4 linked regions of the Schizosaccharomyces pombe genome follow. The protein of the gene in region 1 interacts with the protein of each later gene in a pairwise test. Each region holds a gene or a part of one and is shown in the gene's direction. Other genes may lie near its edges.

Region 1 (5,137 bases):
ATTCTTGTATGTCCAAAGCAATTTCGACTGCAACGTTATCGTGTCTAGTTCGAATGGTATTTAAAAGGTATGCAAAATTACTATTAAATTTTAACAAAGATTCGGGCCAATTACAATCAACGCCATTATCTTGGTCAGAAAAATCTGTTTCAAAATAGCGACCTTTTGAAGAGTCTAAATGAGTATTTGCAAGCGAGGGATTATGAAGAATTTCAGAGTCCATTAAACTTGACCTCCATTTCGGGGCATTGTGATATCGAGCGTGCTTTGGAAGACATTTCGGTAGTTCCACTCCTTTCAGTTCAATAATTTCCTTCAACCAGTTAGCTTTGTTTGATTTCTGGTTATGTTTCGACAAGTATCGAACATGCAAATATACACATTTGACCTACCTCCATAGATCTACCGTAAGCAGCCTTTACGGAAGATATACGCTTCATACTTCGTAGCATCGGTGAAAGATTCTGCAGGTCTTGGATGCGCCGAGCCAAGCGAATGGGCAATTCATCTCGCAAAAACAAGCCAGCCCGGAAAAGTGTTCCTGGTGTAGGGTTCTTGCCTTCATAATAAAAATTAAGCAGTCAGTATAAAATTTCTAGTATGAAGTAATCTAAGAAAAATTAACTGAGCAAAAATTCTTACCAAAATACACTAATTGCTTTAAAGACAACCCTGTTTGAGGATATTGAGCCAAGAGATTGACTTTCTCCTGTAAAGTTTTCCCGAGCACTGACATTTCTTTTAAACCTTAAGTTTTTCTTTAAATTCGATAATGATAAATAGAACAATTGTTCAATCGTAAACTTTGTTGGTTTGTCTAACAAATAGATGATAACCCATGGACGAGCATAAAAAAAGCGGCAATTTGCAAAATATAACCTAAAGAAAGTAAAAGATGAGCTTCAGAAACAAACAAATAAAGCAGTTTCTTAATGTTTTCACACAGAATCTAAGAAAGCTTTTGCTAAACTAATGCATTCATATGTTTGCAAAGTACCCATAAAAATAATGAACTTGAGTGTATTCCATTAAAATTGAAATGCGTGATACATTATACTTCTTTTGCATTGCTTATTTTATTTTTCACAATACTGCTAGCTACACAGTTTGTTATCTAATTTAAGGATACGTAGAACTGCGGTGAGTTTTCCTTGTGGTCTATTATATTACAATACACAGGTCGTATGAGTAGCAACTGAGTATAGGTATTGTATTAACTAGGTTATAAAATGTTACCTATCACTAATATAGCTTATAACTGAACCTCGTTCCTCAGTTCAGTTAAAACTCTATTTATAATATTTCTAAATAGTTGCTATCAACGGGTATCTATGTATATAGACGGATAGTTACCCGTGATGATCAATAGACGGATCTTAATTAGTATTCCAACATATGACATATAGTGATATGTAACGTAGTGTAGTATTGCTGACAAATACGCGGTCATTAGGTTACTTAACGATACACATAATACTGCAATGCTTGTAGTTACTTGTTGATATACCAACCATAAATAAGAGGAAGAGTATGGTAGATCCACCTTCAAGATAAACATATTTGATCATTGCTATATCCTGCTTGTCAAATATTTTCTTAATACTCAACGGTTAGGAATATTCAAAAAAATTTAATGTTGTCCAACGATTTTGCGCTATTATATTTTTGCGATAAAGAAACATGTGCTACATTGAAATAATTTAAGGTAAATATGTGATACGTAGCAAACTGGAAAAAACAATAAAATGAATATTTGGTTTGACTATTAGTGTGTTTAAGAAACTGTTCTTTTAAAAGTTAAAACTACTTTAAATATAAAATATAATTTTGGTCACTTTCTGCTGCACTCGACATTTACCTCAATTTCCCATCCACCCTGTTTCGTCGCAAGTTGTTACAGTTACTACAAACCTCCATTACCACGCTTTCTGACAATTGTCAGGGTTTTGGCGAATATTTAGAAAATGGTTGTTTTAAAAGGAGGTTTGTAACTTTTTTTATTGTATTTTCTAACATAATTTAGGTGCCTGGAAAAATACAGAGGTAAAGACTATGATTTTAACCTTCTACCACGCGCAATGTTTTTGTTACTAACTTATTGGTAAACAGGATGAAATCTTAAAGGTATTTTTTTATTTATTAGTTACATATTTCCTTTAATATTTAGAATACTAACGCAAATTCCTAGGCTGCTGTCAGTAAATACGGTAAAAACCAATGGGCCCGCATAAGTTCATTGCTGGTTCGCAAAACTCCTAAACAATGTAAAGCTCGTTGGTATGAATGGATCGATCCAAGCATTAAAAAGGTATGTTAAACATGTAATCACTATTTGTTATTTGACAAGACCTATTGTTAACATTTCCTTCACATTTAGACTGAATGGAGTCGTGAAGAGGACGAAAAATTATTACACTTAGCTAAGTTACTTCCTACACAGTGGCGGACGATTGCTCCAATTGTAGGTCGGACGGCCACTCAATGTTTAGAACGCTATCAAAAACTTCTTGATGATTTGGAAGCGAAAGAGAACGAGCAGTTGGGATTGATCAGTGGAGAAGGTGCAGAAGCAGCTGCGCCTGTTAACGATCCAAATTCCCGGCTTCGTTTTGGCGAAGCAGAGCCCAATTTAGAAACCCTACCTGCACTCCCTGATGCCATTGACATGGATGAAGACGAAAAAGAGATGTTGAGTGAAGCACGTGCACGTTTAGCAAACACACAAGGAAAGAAAGCCAAACGAAAGGATAGAGAAAAGCAGCTTGAATTAACTAGAAGATTGTCACATCTCCAAAAGCGAAGAGAATTGAAGGCAGCTGGAATCAAGTATGTGTTATTATTATTACTTTATTGTATTGTTTTTCCTTCATTATGTTAATCTATAACTTAGTATAAAGCTCTTCCGTCGAAAGAAGAATGAAATGGATTATAACGCTTCTATTCCATTTGAAAAAAAGCCAGCGATTGGTTTTTATGATACCTCAGAAGAGGACAGGCAAAATTTTCGGGAAAAGCGAGAAGCGGACCAGAAGATAATTGAAAATGGAATACGGAATAATGAAATGGAATCCGAAGGTCGAAAATTTGGTCATTTTGAAAAGCCAAAACCTATTGATAGAGTAAAAAAGCCCAACAAAGATGCCCAAGAAGAAAAAATGCGACGTCTTGCCGAGGCTGAGCAGATGAGCAAGAGGCGGAAGTTGAATTTACCTAGTCCTACTGTGTCTCAAGATGAACTGGATAAAGTAGTGAAACTAGGCTTTGCAGGCGATCGTGCTCGCGCTATGACTGATACGACTCCAGATGCTAATTACAGTACTAATTTGTTAGGAAAGTATACACAAATTGAACGAGCTACTCCATTGAGAACACCAATTAGTGGTGAACTTGAGGGAAGAGAGGATTCAGTTACAATTGAAGTTAGAAATCAATTGATGAGGAACCGCGAACAATCTTCTCTCTTGGGTCAGGAAAGTATACCTTTACAACCTGGTGGTACTGGTTACACAGGAGTTACTCCCAGTCATGCAGCTAATGGCTCAGCTTTGGCAGCACCTCAAGCAACTCCTTTTAGAACACCACGTGACACATTTTCTATTAATGCAGCTGCGGAGCGAGCAGGACGATTAGCAAGTGAAAGAGAAAATAAAATTCGATTGAAGGCTTTGCGAGAATTGCTTGCAAAACTACCTAAACCTAAAAACGACTATGAACTAATGGAGCCTCGATTTGCGGACGAAACTGATGTTGAAGCTACTGTTGGAGTGCTTGAAGAAGACGCAACAGACCGAGAACGTCGTATCCAAGAACGTATTGCAGAAAAAGAAAGGTTGGCAAAAGCGAGGAGGTCACAGGTTATTCAAAGAGATTTGATTCGACCATCTGTAACACAACCAGAAAAATGGAAGCGTTCACTTGAAAATGAAGATCCGACTGCAAATGTTTTATTGAAAGAAATGATTGCTTTGATTTCATCGGACGCCATTAATTATCCGTTTGGAAATTCAAAAGTGAAAGGAACGGCTAACAAAGTGCCTGATTTGTCAAATGAAGAAATTGAGAGGTGTAGATTGTTACTAAAGAAAGAGATAGGGCAACTAGAAAGTGACGATTATATCCAATTCGAGAAGGAATTTTTGGAAACGTACAGTGCACTTCACAACACCTCAAGTTTGTTGCCAGGCTTGGTAATCTACGAGGAAGACGATGAAGACGTTGAAGCCGCTGAAAAGTTTTATACGAACGACATTCAACGAGATTTAGCTAAGAAAGCATTGGAATGTAACAAGTTGGAAAATCGGGTTTATGATTTGGTTAGATCTTCATATGAGCAACGTAATTTTTTGATAAAGAAAATCTCGCATGCTTGGAAGGCTTTGCAAACAGAAAGGAAAAATTTAACGTGCTACGAATTTCTATACAATCAGGAGCGATTAGCTCTACCTAATAGGCTTGAAGCAGCTGAAATAGAGCTAAGCAAAATGCAACAAATCGAGGCGTATGCTCAACAAGATTATGCTAGGGTTACTGGACAAAATTAAACTTCACTTCACTTTGTTTTAAATAATTGTCATAGCTTATCATTCATAGTGTATATTATCATGCCTGAAATAAAACGAAAGTTTTATAAAAAGATAATCCAAGCTAGAGAAAAGTAGAAAAGGAATAAAGGGTATACTGCCAACAATTTTTTGTTGGATAGATTAGAATTTTGTAAAACACCCATAGCAGCGAACAATGTCCAGGCATACATTGCAACAATCACAGGTATGCGTATAAATATTAAGGGAACGAATGCACAAACTATAGAAGCAATCATTAAAGGGAAAGAGGAGTACCCCAATATACACATAGATTGAAAAATGCTAATGTTGGCCCCTAGTAATTTTATATTTAAAGAACAAACCGCTTCCCCAAACCATATGAGCGCGACAACGACTGTAAAAACAGATTCTCGTTCAATCTTGTCAGTAGACAAGGCAAGTGCTAAAGCAATTACGAGGGAAAAAATCAAAGGACCCCACAAGTCCCAGTCGCGTAGTACTTGAGCATTTTTGGGATACAAAACATAGACGAGTTTTTCACCAATAGCTCTAAATTCATTAAATAATGTAACACGAATGGGTTCGTCCAGAGA
Region 2 (6,632 bases), on another chromosome or scaffold:
ACTACACAATCCTTCACAAATTCATTAAGAATATAACCGGAGAAGTCAAAATTTCCCAAAACTTTTAGAGCCAAAATATAGACGTCATTGGGAAAAAATCCTGTCTTCAGGGAAGCACTCTTTGAAGATTTTAAAGATCTTGCTACATATTGGGGAGGACATCCTGGAGGAATAAAAGGACGACCACTTAGAATTTTGCTGAGCATATCTAATAGTCGTTCCTGTATGACTGGTAATAATGGAGGTATATTATGGGCCAGATCTGAGAGAGCACGGTAAGAAGCCTCAGAAAGTCCGCTTGCAAATATTAAGTCAAAGAGGTCATACGCATAGTTTGAAAAGGCTTGTCCTAGTGCTATAGAAAGTAGGCTAATGCATTGAAAAATTGCAGCATCCGAAGCACTTTTATTACGGATATGGATTTTTAGACTTTCCTTGATTGAATCGCATATGGGGTCAAGATATGGGATTATGCTATTAGTAATAGCCACGGCAACTTTTCCAATAGTGGCAAACGCCAACATCTTAACATTTTCTTTTTTTAATAGATTAAGTAGATGGAGCATACAAACGTGTAAATAATTGGAAACAAATTCATCTGGATTATAAGCTGCGAGTGTAGCAATCAATTCTGTAACGGTTTTGCGAATAAGCAAATCTTTGTGATCTCTGAATTGCAATATAATGTCCGATACTTCTCGATACCTCTCATGCATAAACATTCCAGCTTTTAAAAATAATTGGCGATATACTAGTAAACTACCATGAATGTAATCAGAAGAACCCTGTGCAACACCACGTTGAGCTTCATTGAGAATACTTGTATACCATTGGAGACGGATGGATGAATCCCTTTGCCTAACGATTTTCAAGAACTCACTCAACGCATCAGCCGAAGCTATTCGAATAGTAACTTTTGGATCCCGAAGTCCATGCCATAAAAGCTCAAAAATTGAATCGATATGAGCATAGATTAATGTAGACGTATTTTTGGCAAGCTCCTTAAGTATAAGCACTGCTGCATATCTACGATTTTCATTACGTTCTCCTTGAAGCCATTCCAAAGCGCGTTTAACTTCGAAGTTCACAAATTCAGAAGTTAGAGCACCTCCAGGAACTGCAAGTCTCCCTAAAGCTTTTGCAGCAAGAACGGTGGCTTTTTGGTCAGTTCCTGGAAGAATAATACGCAAATAATTTGCAAATCTAGTAATCCTTGTAGTATCTTCTCCTTCATAATCAATTAGACGATTTATGGCAGTTACGCCTGCCAGACGATCGAGTGGATCGGTACTGTGAATTAAAGTATAAACGTACTTGTTAACATCATTGTTAAACTGAACTAAAGCTTCGCCCGATAATTCTCGAGAATAAGCTATAACATATTCATAAAGATCATTTGCCGCTTTATTGCGAATTTCTTCATTCCTGCTTTTCAACCCAGGAAATTCTTTCATTATATACAGCTTAAATTAGCATCATTCTCTCAATTAAACAAAATTATTAAATGTGGTTGGTGGTGACCAAACAAGCACCTGCTGTACTTTTGCACCTAATTCTTAGTATACGCAGAGAGGAGATCAATAGAAACACGATTGAAAAAGTAATATTTTTATGACGATTAATTATTTGTAATAGATATACAAGTTAATATTTAGTGTTCTCAAAAAATCCAAGTTTTATTAAAAAAAGTCTAAACTTAGGAACTTTGGTAAAATACCAAAAACGAGTGTTGATTATCTAAATTTTATTTTCGAAGTATTACTTTAAGTTTTTTACTTTACATTTTTCTCAAAGCTCATAGAGGAGAACAAATAAGAATCGCTGTTAAAGATTCTGACGCTAACCACCAAGTTCACAACACTTGTGATATTGCTAATATCCCTTTCTCTATTAAATGGTTCTGTATAAAAACAAAAAAAAACAAATCATTAATTATGCAAATTCGAATTGGGGTCAAAATGAAGGTGTAGAATTTCAAGAAACTATGCTACAATGCATCCTCGAAGCTGTCATTGTAAGTAAAGATGCTAAGCAAGTACTTAGTCTGTTACATGAGTTAAAGCTTTTTGAGAATTTCCTTTGGCAGAGGGTTAATACTGAGATGTCATTGAACCATATAAACTTAACTTGTATGCTTCTATTATACAAATCCAAATATGAATATATTACATGGGACCTCATTGATGAAAATCGGTTTCAATTATTTTTTGAAAAAGTAATTGAAGTCTCTTTATCCTTAAATTTATCAGAAGTGGTTTACATGATTCAATTCATTACTCTCTGTTTTCAGTTTTCGAATATAGAGAAATTAAGGAAACTTGTTTACCAGTTAACGAACATTTCTATTTTAAATTCGCTTGATAATCTTGATAAAGTAAAATATTTACTACATGACTCAAGCTCTCTGACGAAAGCCTTTGATTCTTATAAGGAAAAACGACCGTCTATCGTTGAAAAGTTCCCTTTACATAATTTACTTTCCCGCTGGATTCATTCTCTGCTTATTAAATCGATTAGCTACGCTCAAACTGAAAAACAAGAAGCGAAAGTAACCCCCCTTTTAGCAATTATCAATATGTCTTTGGTTTTACTATCCGCATTTCCCACACGTCGCTTTGCTCATCCCGTAATAGAAGACAGTTGTTTTTATACCGCATTAAGAATGTCTTTGTATTACGACAGTAATGAGCTTTTTAAAAAAATGACAGACGACTTAAACTATGTTTTGAAATTCCCTTTTGATAATACCAGAGGTAACGAATATGAGAAAGAACAAAAAATCAGAAATGATGAGCTTGTGTACTACCACTTACAGTTAACTTTATTTTCGGATTTTCAGAAGGAATTAGGGGATCTGGTATTTTGCACACAAACCTCTTTACAACAGCGACAAAAATTGGAGGAAATTACGTCTTTTCTTTCCTTCAATTCACTTAAGTCCTTGTGTAGTAAATGTTATTTGAGGACTTCATTTCCCGAAAAATATGCTATAAAAGTGGATTTCGAATTTTTAAAAAATGTTTTTATTAACACGTATGATAGGACTAGATTGGTAAATGATTATGATGAAATCATAAATTTTACTTTGAAAGATGTACTTGGTGAGCGATCCGTGATGGACCAAGAAAACTCTTTGACCAATTACTTCCTACTACAAAACACTGCTATACAATATCTTTCTATATCTTTTTTTATGAGACAACAGAGTAAAGCTTACAAAAAGTTATTGTTAAGGTCACTATATGCTGAACTTTTAAATTTCAGTGAACAATACAGGAGACTATCAATTAAAAATGCGACCAAGAATTTGACCAAAGATAATTTTTTCTCTTTAAATAACTTTAAAGTTACCTCCGTTGCTCCACCTCAAATCGGTCAAGTTTTACCTCAATTTGTAAAGTGTCAAATGGGTTTAAGTCGACCTGGACCTTTTCATTCAGCGTTACGTGATTTAAAGAATTCCATCAAGAGCCCTTTTCTTTGCTTAATATACATTTCTAAAGATATGGAGTACAAGTTATTACATGGTAATGCGCTTGACCCCTTAGAAGGGGTGACTGATTTTACAATCGCGACGATATGCAATGATGATGTTGGAATGTTTCAAAGCGATATGCAGTCAGATTCTGACAACAAGTCCATCAATGTATACCTAAGCCCATTTTATTATCATTCCCTTGCGGGGTTGGGGGAATATCGCCCTAAGCAATTGAAGTTCAACTTTGCTTTGGTACTGTCTCCTGAGGCAAATAAGTATTGGTTGGACTTAAATATTCTTGTATCTTTACTTAATCGCGCTAAAGAATTTCCTAAATGGTTCGAAGATTTATTTTTGGGTTTTGGAACGCCTGATATATGTGCTTTTCCTAATGCTGGGCTTAATTCTATTTATGCTAGAAACTTGTTCAATACAGTCGAACAGTTGCAATCAGTACTTCCTAATTGTCATGTACCTTCTAATTTATCAACTGAATCTTTACTAATCAAATTTTATACTAATCAGAACAAAATATCAGCTGATGTTACCGCATCTGATAGGCATTTTTTACTACCATCAAATCGATTATATACTTACAATGACAAACAGCTAGAATCGATTTTACGTGGATCTCAACCAGGATTAACTATGGTTAATGGTCCAACTCGTTGTGGAAAACATGTTTTGGTATGCAAACTTCTAGAGGTTTTACAAGACACATCTCCCAATGATAGAACCGTTGTACTTTCTGACTCCAATTTCTCTATGAATACTTTGTTTACCTTACTGGAAAAAGCTAGATGTTTTCACCAAGGGCACCTATTATATCTATCTGATGAAGGAAAAGACGAAACGTTGGAACGTTATGGTACTTTATCGTCTTGGATATCTAAGCTTCCTGGTCTTCTACGAGAAATCGGTCGCCTAGCTGCTTCAATCCAGGCTCCAGGTTCTCATGACGCCAGCCCAGATACGGCTTTGTATTTTAGGGATGCTTATATTAAGCGACTTTGGGAAAAGTACTTGAACACGGTAGATGATAAGGATTCTGTGGATGCCTATAACAGGTTCCCTTTCCATTCGTATTTCGGTGACAAATCTAAGCGTCCGATAGAAACGTATAATAAAGATAATTTTTTCGATTATGCGACAAAGTTATACGGGGAGTTAGAATATATGTTCCAACAGCTGGAAGAGATCCGGCCTTTTGGATTACTGAGATATTATGAAGATCAAGAATTGTATGCATTATGCCAACAATCTAGGATTATCGGATGCACTTGGACGAGCTTAAGTACACGCTTAGGGACTTTGAAAGAAAAGGGATTTTGCTTTAACAATTTAATTGTTATGAACTCACAAAATATAAGTGAAAGCTCTATCACTAGCATACTACTTTCAAACTGTGAACCAACTGGTTTTGATCGCCTTGTTCTTCTGGGTAATCAATATCTTACCTCTGGGAATCAGGATATAAATAATACGTCAAATGGTTCACTTTTCAAACGTTTGCGGTATTTGAAATCCAGAATTATTGACCTTAATACGCAATACAATGTTAGAGAATCTATCAGTTCTCTATGTTCATCAATTTATCCTTTGGACATCAAAACTGTGGATTCTAGTCCCAATAAAAGACTTGATTATGGTAATTCGGGGTTTGCACATGAGGTCCAATTTATTAATGTGGGAGCTTTTAAAGGTTCTCAAGAAACAGAACCCGTTAGCGGTTATAAGCAAAATCTTGGAGAAGCCGAGTACGCAGTTGCCTTATTCCAGTACATGCGAATGTTAGGTTATCCCACCAACGAAATTGTAATCTGTACGCTTTATGAGAGTCAAGTCAGCCTTTTAAATGAAATTATATCGGTACGCTGTTCTCATAACTCGTTTTTTGGTCAGCCTGCTTTTGTAGGTACCGTGGAAAAATTACCAAGCGATAAACGGGTAAACTTTGTTATATTTACGACAGTTGAATCTAAAGAGGCCTCTGATCATTGGAATCCAAAAACATTTTATAAAGCCTTTTCAGCATGCTCATATGGTCTGTACGTATTGTGCAACCGTGACCTTTTTCGCTCTACACGTGGTCTTGAAAAACTGTGGAATGAAATTGAAAAGACTCCTGACAAGCTGCTTTTAACCACGGGAGAAATATATCCAAGTTCTCACAAAATCGGATCTTCCGTTGAAACATTTGAAATTGAAAATTTACTTCATCTCTCAAACTATGTTGTTGAAATGACTAAAAAAAGGTTAAATACGAATTAAAATAAAAACCTACTTCATATAGACTATTTGCTTGTTGTATTGAATTAATGATTATTTGTAAGATTAAAGTCATTTTATTTCATTGCTTTTTTGCATAATTAACTTATTTAAAAAACTAAATAGTGAGCTTTACAAACAATAAAAAGTTGATCCCCTCAGAAAAAGTCTTAGGTGTCATACCGATAATAGCTCACTACTTTATTCAACTATACAACAAGTTGGGTAATACATTATTTGCACGAAGTTAACGTCCAATGATTGATTGGTCGAATGAGTAATAAATATAACAATTTATTAAAAGAAGTTGCAGCTAAATATGCTAGTATCATTCTAAATGATGCGAAAATTAAGTCTTTAACTTCAATAAATAGTGCCGAATATCTATATGATTCATTTGTTGAAATTAGTAAATTACCACTGGAAAAGAAGCTTCCGTTAAAATGGAAACTGATTACAGTAAAGGAAAATATTTGCACGAAGACAAATTTAACCACGGCAGCCTCTAATATGTTGAAGGGTAGACAATAAGAATATATTTCAGTTACTAATTGCGGTTTAACTAGACTACAATTCTCCGTTTGATGCGTCAATTGTCGAAAGCTTGAAGAAAGCCGGCGGTATTATTCTTGGTAAAACAAATATGGATGAGTTTGCAATGGGAGTCAAGAGCGAAAACAATCTTTTTGGTCGCACTGTTAATCCTGTTGTTAAGGATAGTAATTACGATGTTGGGGGCAGCTCGGGAGGAGCTGCTGCTGCAATCGCGGCGGATATATGTTATGCATCAGTTGGTTCAGACACAGGAGGATCAATCCGTCTACCTGCTGCTTACGTAGGTTGTGTAGGTTTTAAACCATCTTTCGGCAGGATTTCGAGATATGGA
Region 3 (5,863 bases), on another chromosome or scaffold:
AAAACCCAACTCAAAGCTATTTGACTAGTGGAACGATCAAGGTCTTTTGAAACAGCGTCCAGGATGGTTCCGGGTTTGGCTAATGCTCCTGAAGCTAAGGGATACCAAGGAATAAACGCAATTCCCTTCTGTTCACAATATTCTAACACTTTCTCATTCTTACGATTGACAAGGTTGAATAAGTTCTGAACACTAACTACCGGAAAATACTGTTCAGCTTCTTTGATATCGTCTACTGTAACCTCACTCAATCCAACATGGCGAATCAATCCTTCTTTCTTCATAGCTGCAATTTCAGAAAATTGGTCTTTGCGAGGAACCTTGGGATCGATGCGATGTAGTTGCCAGAGGTCAATTTGCTTAACTCCAAGTCGACGCATGCTCATAAGTACTTCTTGACGTAAAAATTTGGGTGCTCCACAAGGATGCCATTCATTTGGACCTGTACGAACAAGGCCACCCTTGGTAGCAATTATAAGTCCTTTGTAAGGGTATAAAGCTTCTCGTAAAAGATTCTCGCTGACCTCAGGGCCGTAAGAATCGGCGGTATCAATAAAGTTAATATTGAGTTCAGGCAAACGTTTTAAAGTTGCGATGCAAGCCTCTTTGTCTTTGGGTTCATCCCATATACCATCACCGGTAACTCTCATTGCTCCGAATCCCATTCTATTGACAACCATGTCGCCAACCTTGACAGTCCCAGCTTGTGAAGCATCTACGGCGGAAGAAGCTGCAGTTTTACTCATTTTTGTGTCTTTTGTCGCTTTTCTTAGAAATCAAGATCAAGTACTATAGTGGATCCGGTAAGTGTGGGATGTCAGACGCCGTTTCCTTTTATAGTAATTTTACATGGTGTATTCCTTACATAAGCTGGATTGATGCGGACTATCTTAAACCACGAAAACTGATTTATTACATACCCTATTTACAGAATCCAGTGGTATGATGTAAGAGCGCGTTAGACAATATATTGTCATAACGATGACTAATACTATTATAGTACGATATTGCTGGTTGGATTTTGAATTAGAGTAAATAGCTAAGTCCTTTTTGATTTGGCTCTTATTCAATTTAATGATAATTTTATGGTTCCAAAATCTGATGCTGGATGAATTGTCTAAACTGTATCTCTGTCTTCTTTTGCCAGCCCATTTTTATTCATGAGCAACGATGGTCGCACATAACGATAATGATCTTTATTGCTATGTTTCTTTCTATTCAAGATAATGTGGATTTATATTTTCCATCTTCTTGAATTATGCTTGATCGTGCTATCAAATCGTACTACGAGTTATCATTTGGAGACCACAAATGGGTTGACCAGTTCCGTAAATCGAGGTAAACATTGCACATAATAACAATTCTAGGACTGTATTTGAAAGGAAACACATTTTTTGAATTTAGTTGATGATGCCAGTATATTATTAGTGTTATTGACATTCAGCAATTTGTTGTGTGTTTTATAAACACACTAAATACTTTGTACAGTTGCAAAACTTGCGCTCTAAAAATGTTTGCACCGCACTTTTACAATGGCTATTTACTCTTACTATTGTCTTCGAAAAGCTTATAAATTTGGCTGCTAAACATGGGTCGGTAGCTCAAATCGTAGACATAACCAGTCTTTTAAGGTCTCAATTACACCCATGTACGACTTTTAAGGAGGAAGTTGGTAAATAAAAAAGTATATTTGGTTTTCAATAATTACGATTCATTCCTTTCTATCAAAATGAGACGATGTCGTTCTTCGGCAACCTTAAAGAGTGTAGTGGAAGTTACTGAGCCGATCATATCTCGTTTAGAGAGTATAAAGACAATGATTTCTCTAGCTCATTATCAAAGCTTAACGAGATATAAATCGCAGTTGAGACATGAATGCGCTAAAGCTCGAAAACTTGGTTACACTTTACTTCAAATTTGGTAATTACCAAAAGTTGTGCATTGTGGGTACTTGGCAGTAACTGATGATGGAAGAGGATTTATATGATGAGTAAGTGGTCTAAAAACATTTTATAGTTATTTCTAACTCGCCAGGTTTGGAAATTACATAGGCCCTGAAAATGAAGAAGATGAAGAGGAGCTGTTTCCTCAGGCTCCTAGCCCTACAATTGCACAGGTACCATCCTTTGAAGAGGTCATTCCTGATGAAGAATTAGAAGACGTTGAAAGGGCCGAGGAAATGGCGTTGAGTCATCTAGAGCCTCAGAATGCCGTTGTTCTTCACGAGGATAAACAATATTATCCTAGCGCTGAAGAGGTATATGGGTCCAACGTGGATATCATGGTTCAGGAACAGGATACTCAACCCTTAAGCCAGCCCATTATTGAGCCAATTCGTCACAAAAGGATTGCTATAGAAACAACAAACGTCCCAGATACTGTATACAAGAAAGAGTAAGTATGTGTAACAATGTCTTTTCTAACTTTTTAAGGTTCCTCTTCGGTCTCTTAACTGGGACAGATGACGTTAGATCTTTTATTGTTGCTGGCCATCTGCATCACGGCAAAAGCGCTTTATTAGATTTACTCGTTTATTATACCCATCCTGACACCAAGCCGCCAAAAAGGCGTTCACTTCGATATACCGACACTCATTATCTTGAAAGAGAACGTGTGATGTCTATAAAAAGTACTCCACTTACGCTCGCAGTTTCTGATATGAAGGGTAAGACGTTTGCATTTCAGTGCATCGATACGCCTGGTCATGTCGATTTTGTTGATGAAGTCGCTGCTCCTATGGCCATAAGTGATGGTGTTGTATTAGTCGTTGATGTTATTGAAGGTGTAAGTTATTCTGGCCTTTTCTTGCGTTTTGAAGATATAAAGATTCTAACATGCTTTAGGTGATGATTAACACCACTAGAATTATCAAACATGCGATTCTTCACGATATGCCAATTGTGCTCGTCTTGAACAAAGTTGATAGGTTAATCCTTGAGCTACGTCTCCCTCCGAATGATGCTTACCATAAACTTCGACACGTTATCGACGAAGTAAACGATAACATTTGCCAGATTAGTAAAGATTTGAAATATCGCGTTTCTCCTGAGTTAGGGAACGTTTGTTTTGCTTCATGTGATCTTGGATATTGTTTTACATTGTCTAGTTTCGCAAAACTCTATATAGATAGACATGGAGGTATCGACGTGGACTTATTTTCTAAAAGATTGTGGGGGGATATTTATTTCGATTCGAAAACCAGAAAATTTGCCAAACAGTCCTTGGATGGCTCTGGCGTTAGAAGCTTTGTCCATTTCATATTAGAACCGTTGTATAAATTACATACCCTTACTATTTCTGACGAAGCCGAAAAACTCAAAAAACACTTATCTTCTTTCCAAATTTATTTAAAACCCAAGGATTATTTATTAGATCCTAAACCACTCTTGCAACTAATTTGCGCATCGTTTTTTGGATTCCCCGTTGGTTTTGTGAATGCAGTTACTAGACATATTCCATCGCCTCGAGAAAATGCCGCTCGTAAAGCCTCTCAATCATATATTGGGCCTATAAACTCTAGTATCGGCAAGGCTATCTTAGAAATGAGTCGTGAGGAATCAGCACCATTAGTCATGCATGTTACTAAACTTTACAACACCGTCGATGCTAATAATTTTTATGCATTTGCTCGTGTATATAGTGGTCAGGTTAAAAAGGGTCAGAAAGTTAAAGTTCTTGGAGAAAATTATTCTTTAGAAGACGAAGAGGATATGGTGGTTGCTCATATTGCTGAAATATGTGTACCTTGCGCACGATATCGTCTTCACGTTGATGGAGCTGTTGCCGGCATGCTAGTTCTTTTAGGAGGTGTTGATAACTCTATTAGCAAAACAGCAACCATCGTTTCGGACAATTTGAAAGATGATCCTTACATTTTCAGGCCAATTGCTCACATGTCCGAGAGTGTTTTCAAGGTGGCTGTAGAGCCACACAATCCATCAGAATTACCAAAACTACTTGATGGCCTACGAAAAACAAACAAAAGCTACCCACTATCTATCACAAAAGTAGAAGAATCTGGGGAACATACTATTTTCGGTACTGGTGAGATGTATATGGATTGTCTACTTTATGATCTTCGGACTTTATACTCTGAAATCGAAATCAGAGTTTCCGATCCAGTTGCTCGTTTCTGTGAGACTGCGGTGGACACATCAAGTATCAAGTGTTTTTCAGATACTCCAAATAAAAAAAATCGTATCACAATGGTAGTTGAGCCATTGGAGAAAGGAATTTCTAATGACATTGAAAATGGAAAAGTTAATATCAATTGGCCTCAAAAAAGAATCAGCGAATTTTTCCAAAAGAACTACGATTGGGACTTACTAGCTTCACGTTCCATCTGGGCTTTTGGTCCCGATGATCGTGGTACGAATATATTGCGGGATGATACTCTTAGTACAGATGTTGATAAAAACGTGCTTAATAGCGTAAAAGAATACATTAAACAAGGTTTTCAATGGGGGACTAGGGAAGGTCCTCTATGTGATGAGACAATCCGAAACGTGAATTTTCGCCTGATGGATGTAGTGCTTGCACCTGAACAAATTTATCGAGGAGGTGGTCAAATTATTCCAACCGCAAGGAGAGTGTGTTATTCTTCTTTTTTAACAGCGTCTCCACGGCTAATGGAACCAGTGTATATGGTTGAAGTACATGCCCCCGCTGACAGTCTTCCTATTATTTATGATTTATTAACGCGTCGTCGTGGTCATGTCCTCCAAGATATCCCTCGGCCAGGTTCCCCATTATATTTGGTGAGAGCACTTATTCCAGTCATTGATTCTTGTGGATTTGAAACAGATTTACGAGTGCATACTCAGGGTCAAGCTATGTGTCAAATGGTATTTGATCATTGGCAGGTAGTACCTGGTGATCCACTGGATAAGTCTATCAAGCCCAAGCCATTAGAACCCGCACGTGGCTCTGATTTGGCGAGAGACTTTCTGATTAAGACAAGACGTAGAAAAGGTCTGGTGGAAGATGTTTCTACAACTCGCTATTTCGATCAAGAAATGATTGATTCTTTGAAAGAAGCAGGTGTCGTACTCTCTTTGTAATGTCGGTTTTAAGTCTTTATAATGGATTTTGCAAAAAAAAATAAATTGGGTAGATTTTAATAATAAAGTATACGATTATTTATGAAAGTTCGAGAAGTCTAACAACTTTTTTTTGCTTTCAAATCTCGCGTTTACAGTGTATGAAATCCGAAAAATCAGCGCATATCTTGAAGCCGTAAATTATTTGTGAAATCCTTGATCAGAAGGAAAAGTCGCATTTTGGTTTTACGATTTTAGTATATAGATAAATAACTTCTATTATTTATTTTTTTATGTTAAGAAACTAACACTCAACTGAAATAACGTAATTTCATAGTACTATAAACACCCGAGGTCATATGTCATGAAGTTACCCTCTCAGTATACCGGAAGACTTTAGGGACATATACAACTTCCGGAAGTGCTCTGCTTTTGGAAGTAAAATACAGCGAGTTTAGTTAGATTAGTTTATTATTATCCTTAAAACTGAAGATGGGTTTGAGACTTTTGTTTTCTCTCATTTGCGTATTTTGCATATCGAACATTTTTACGCAAGCCTTCTTGGTGCATCAAATATATGGTAATTCCAGCTTCACAAAAATATCTTTAAATCAACTTGAGGGCAGAGATTCTCAAGAGGAACTACAAAGGCGTCAGGAAATCCGATATTATGGTCGTGCCGCTGAAACTGGAGGAACTCCTACTTACTACGGGTATGCGACACCCACTAGCTCTAGTGAACCCAGTATCTTTTCTGAATCTGCTACTCCCTCAGAAACTAATTCTTACTCGTCTCCGGTCAGCTCTTATTCTGATCCCGCAAC
Region 4 (4,382 bases), on another chromosome or scaffold:
AAGTAGTCCGCCTCTCGCATCAGATAGTTTTCGCTCAAAAATTGGAAACCAAATATTGTACAGAACAAACGCAGAAAGTCAAAAAGAAGTAGAGACGAAACCTGATTCAATCGAATAACACAGGCTGGTCTTATCGATCAAATTAAACGAAACCGCTCTCTATATGACAACTTTAACCGTGAGAGCAGTCAAAGTACGTTTCTTCTACGAGTGTTTCTTATTGAAAGTATAAAGTATTCTGGGTAAACAGCAAACTGTGGGATGAATAACCAGCATCGTGAAAGTGGCCAGTTTGGGGAGTTTTTCATAAACTTAGCGTATATGCCGGTAACCATGTTATAAACAGGCACATTACTTGACGGGAAATCGTTCCACGAGTCCCCAAGTGAAAGAAATGTAAATATAATAAGCGAAATTGTCGTGGGCATCAGTACTATACAAAAGTTGAGGTTTTAGCTCAGACAACTTTTTACCTACTAAACCAAACCTGGTTATGAGCAACAGACCCTTATTATAACATTAGCAATCAACAACAAAAATTTTTATAGTATTGATTTTTGATATCTTGCGTTCGTTCCGCTTTATCGGAAAGACTTTGGCAATTTTACCGATTCTCTAGAATCATGTAAAGTGACGAAAACAGAAGGCAGAAAGTCCAACCAAATATGGGCAAAAAAAACAACCACTTCAATAAATTGTTCCAGTTAACAGCAGTTTAGTTGTGTTCAAGTCAATTACCAGCGTTTCGCGTGAAACGTTACAGAAGTGTAAATAATGAAATACTGTTGCTTTCTCTTTGACTCTCATTCTTACACAAGGTCACTTTGCATAGTAGACCGTTGAAAAAGTAAAAAGGAATAGAGGAGAAAACAAGATTTGATTAATTTTTAACCACACCCAACGTATCCGCAAAATCTCATTGATTCAGTAACATTGACTATATGGTTCTTTCGGTAAGTTTGACTCGTTATTAAATAAAAAAAATAGAGGCAAATTGTTTGAATTATGTTTGCTATCAAATGATATCCATTGAGTTAAAAAGTACGCGATTTGATAGTCTCATGAAGACACACATAAAGAGAGAAAAATCCATCAACTCCACTTAAATTTAAAAAAAGGTGAGGTACATATAGAAACTTTAGTACAATTCGTATTGATCGCCTAAATCAATATTTTTGAAGTATTGAAAGTTCAAACATGCCTTACAGCTCATTTCTCATTACTTTGTAAGGTAGCTGGCTAATGACAACTATATATAGGCATTGAGCCATAAGTATGCTAACTTTCACTATTCATCGCTTGGCAAATCTTTTTCTTTATTAAATGTATCTCCTATAAACGTGGCACTACTTTTTTGAAAGTTATAAAGCACGTTGGGAGCTAATTTCAACTTTATAAACTTCGCAAAAAGTGAAAGAAAACACAAAGGTATAGATAGTTACAAGCCGCATTGCTAAGTTGATCTGATAATTCTTAACATCTAACGTAATCGAGTGTGTCGGAATAGTATTTATGAAAACTGTGAGATATCCCACTGAAAATGATTTATGTTGTCAAAAGCATCGTTAATACACTTAAGAATTACGCATTTCCTCGTGTGCCTTATTCGCAATAATTCTACTGTGTTGCTCACACTAATGCTAACAAGTACGGAATCCTAACTTAGGTGACCTAGCGTAATACTAGCTTCATTTACCAGTTGTTGTAATGCGTGCATTGATTTTCTTTCATACATTCTTGCAAGTAAATTTCCAAGTAATTTGAGGATTTATTTATTAAATTATTTCTCAAAGCTGCGAGAGCTTTTGGATTCATTCGAACAGAATTCATATGTCCATTATATCCATACAACTCGTACTCAACACCACTTCACACATCTGAGTGGAAAGTTGTTTATTATTTTCCAAAAATGGCCCTTTTATCCGAAGAACTTTCTAGGTAAACTTATATTTTTTTCTCAAATTCACTAACAACGCCGCAGTATACTTCCAAATCCTGATTTCGACGATGAAGAGGAAGATTATGTGGAGAGGGAAACATCACATGCAGATGAAAGACAAATTGGTGTCAAATTTCACATTCCTCCCTATGGACAAAGAAAGGGATGGTTTCCTTCTTCACCTGAAGACTTTGGCGATGGTGGAGCTTTTCCCGAAATCCATGTAGCACAATATCCTTTGGATATGGGCAGAAAAAGGTCAGCTAAATCTGCTGGTAATACATTGGCTCTACAGGTCACTTCTTCGGGCGCTGTTGACTATAATGCCATTGCTCGACAAGGTCACGAACATGGAGAGTTGGTACAGGCAAGCTTTCGAGATTTGATCCCCTTACGTGCACGACTAGGTGTGGGAGAAATTTCGTTAGAGAAACCGTCTGACGAGCAAAAGCAAGAAGTAGCGAATAAAACTAAGCTTGCCTTACAAAAAATACTTTCCAAACAAATCGCTCAGTCTCAACCTAAAAGTGCTGTGGTACAACAACGTGACGATCCTGTATACATTCGATATACTCCTAGCAATCAAATGGGACAAGCACTTAGCAAACAGAGGATTATCAAAATGGTCACAGCTGAACAGGATCCCATGGAACCACCAAAATTCCGTCACAAAAAGGTTCCTCGTGGACCACCTTCTCCTCCTCCTCCCGTCTTGCATTCTCCTCCACGAAAAGTTTCTGCTCAAGAACAACAAGATTGGCAAATACCTCCGAGTATTTCTAATTGGAAAAATCCGAAAGGCTACACTATTCCATTGGATAAGCGGCTGGCCGCTGATGGTCGTGGTCTTAATGATGTTGAAATCAACGATGGATTTGCCAAATTTTCTGAAGCATTGTACACGGTGGAGCGTCAAGCTCGTGAAGAGGTCCGATATCGTGCCATAATGCGCCAAAAGATGGCTGAAAAGGAAAAGCAGGAAAAGGAGCAACGTTTATTTATGCTTGCTCAAAAAGCAAGGGAAGATCGTATGGGTAGAAATGCGGCTTCTTCGGGTCCTTCACATGCAAAACCCCGCTCTACTTCTGTCTCCTCTGAAGAAAGAAGTCGTTCCAGAGCTGGATCGTTCTCGCATCATTCAGAGTCAGAAAATGAAGATGAGGATTCAGAAGCTTTTCGCCGTCGTCAAGAACTTCGCCGCGAGCGAAGACGCCAAGCTGAAAAGGATCTTCGTCTCAGTCGAATGGGTGCTGAAAAACGTGCTAAGCTTGCTGAAAAAGATCGACCTCGTGATGTCGCTGAAAGGGTTGCTTTAGGACTTTCAAAACCATCAATGTCAAGCGATACAATGATCGATAGTAGATTATTTAATCAGGCTTCTGGCTTAGGATCCGGATTTCAAGACGAAGACAGTTACAATGTGTATGATAAACCGTGGCGGGCGGCACCTTCATCAACGTTATATAGACCGGGTGCTACTTTGTCCCGTCAAGTTGATGCATCTGCAGAATTGGAACGTATTACTAGTGAAAGTCGTTATGATGTACTAGGAAATGCGCATAAAAAGTTCAAAGGATCGGATGAAGTCGTAGAGGTATGTTTCAATATCTTATACTTTTACTTAAATACTAACTTTTCTTAGTCTCGTGCTGGCCCCGTCACTTTCGAGAAAGATATTGCTGATCCTTTTGGTGTAGATACTTTTTTGAATAATGTTTCTTCAAAGAAAACTTAATTCTATTCGATCCTTGACACTGTCAAAGAAAATGTACATTATTGTATGGTTTTATTCATTGGAATATGACTGTCTTAAAAATAAAAAAAAGTACAATTTACGTTTTGTGTTTTTTTTGGATCAAGGCAGTTAATTCAACAGAAGTTCATATTTAGTCTTAAAAATTAATGTTTATTCTTCTAATGATTAAAGAGCTAGTAAATTTGAGCATCGTTTTTATTTGTATTCTTGTTTCAACTCTGGTAAACCAGGATTATGAAAGTATTTTGGTACAAGATGTGAAAAAGAATTAAAAGTCTTCTATGTAGATAATTTAATTTGTATATTTAAAAATTTTTGATGAGGCATATTTATTTATTTATCTGTGCTTTTTATCACTGGACATTCGGTTGTTTGTTTATATTTCGCTGATAAACGCTGTTTGAAACAAACCTGAACCTACTAAAGAGCAAAATACAGATAGTTCGAGAAATAAATTTTTACGATGTCTTTGACTGAAAACCTTCAATTATTATTAAATTTGGATAGTCTACCATCCAAAAGGTATGTTATCGTTACAATCTAGTCATAAATTCATAAATCATTCATTAACAAATATACCACAGAGAAAATTTAATAAAAAGAAAAGAATGTGGTTTAACAATCATGCTTTGCGGAGCCTCAGGTACTGGAAAAACAACGTTCTTCAATACTCTTTTTGCTACTTCT

Evidence for each region.
Region 2: the proteins of cdc5 (region 1) and cwf11 interact in binary tests that used the Schizosaccharomyces pombe proteins (3 or more experiments, as listed by UniProt).
Region 3: the proteins of cdc5 (region 1) and cwf10 interact in binary tests that used the Schizosaccharomyces pombe proteins (3 or more experiments, as listed by UniProt).
Region 4: the proteins of cdc5 (region 1) and prp45 interact in binary tests that used the Schizosaccharomyces pombe proteins (3 or more experiments, as listed by UniProt).

The regions. Positions count from the first base shown.
Region 1 is NC_003424.3:2,692,794-2,697,930, forward strand, and holds cdc5 (splicing factor Cdc5), read left to right. Parts: upstream 1-1,905; 5' UTR 1,906-1,964; coding exon 1,965-1,983; exon of another isoform or gene 1,984-2,023; coding exon 2,024-2,043; exon of another isoform or gene 2,044-2,100; intron 2,101-2,109; coding exon 2,110-2,124; exon of another isoform or gene 2,125-2,188; coding exon 2,189-2,308; exon of another isoform or gene 2,309-2,377; coding exon 2,378-2,826; exon of another isoform or gene 2,827-2,890; coding exon 2,891-4,541; 3' UTR 4,542-4,624; downstream 4,625-5,137. Other genes in the region: [pyruvate dehydrogenase (acetyl-transferring)] kinase Pkp1, read right to left, coding at 1-313, 393-559, 643-736; SPOM_SPAC644.13C (Rab GTPase-binding protein), read right to left, coding at 4,625-5,137. UniProt on the Schizosaccharomyces pombe protein: Involved in mRNA splicing and cell cycle control.
Region 2 is NC_003423.3:920,831-927,462, forward strand, and holds cwf11 (protein Cwf11), read left to right. Parts: upstream 1-1,841; 5' UTR 1,842-1,894; coding exon 1,895-5,749; 3' UTR 5,750-5,811; downstream 5,812-6,632. Other genes in the region: TORC1 serine/threonine protein kinase Tor2, read right to left, coding at 1-1,454; gta1 (glutamyl-tRNA amidotransferase alpha subunit), read left to right, coding at 6,020-6,266, 6,313-6,632. UniProt on the Schizosaccharomyces pombe protein: Involved in mRNA splicing where it associates with cdc5 and the other cwf proteins as part of the spliceosome.
Region 3 is NC_003423.3:4,050,637-4,056,499, forward strand, and holds cwf10 (GTPase Cwf10), read left to right. Parts: upstream 1-1,919; 5' UTR 1,920-1,964; coding exon 1,965-1,990; exon of another isoform or gene 1,991-2,034; coding exon 2,035-2,394; intron 2,395-2,432; coding exon 2,433-2,784; exon of another isoform or gene 2,785-2,843; coding exon 2,844-5,060; 3' UTR 5,061-5,343; downstream 5,344-5,863. Other genes in the region: SPOM_SPBC215.11C (aldo/keto reductase family protein), read right to left, coding at 1-746; protein Mtl3, read left to right, coding at 5,532-5,863. UniProt on the Schizosaccharomyces pombe protein: Component of the U5 snRNP complex required for pre-mRNA splicing. Binds GTP.
Region 4 is NC_003421.2:1,500,783-1,505,164, forward strand, and holds prp45 (Prp19 complex subunit Prp45), read left to right. Parts: upstream 1-1,860; 5' UTR 1,861-1,909; coding exon 1,910-1,938; exon of another isoform or gene 1,939-1,981; coding exon 1,982-3,533; intron 3,534-3,581; coding exon 3,582-3,674; 3' UTR 3,675-3,882; downstream 3,883-4,382. Other genes in the region: SPOM_SPCC188.14 (uncharacterized protein), read right to left, coding at 189-428; septin Spn6, read left to right, coding at 4,159-4,217, 4,280-4,382. UniProt on the Schizosaccharomyces pombe protein: Involved in pre-mRNA splicing.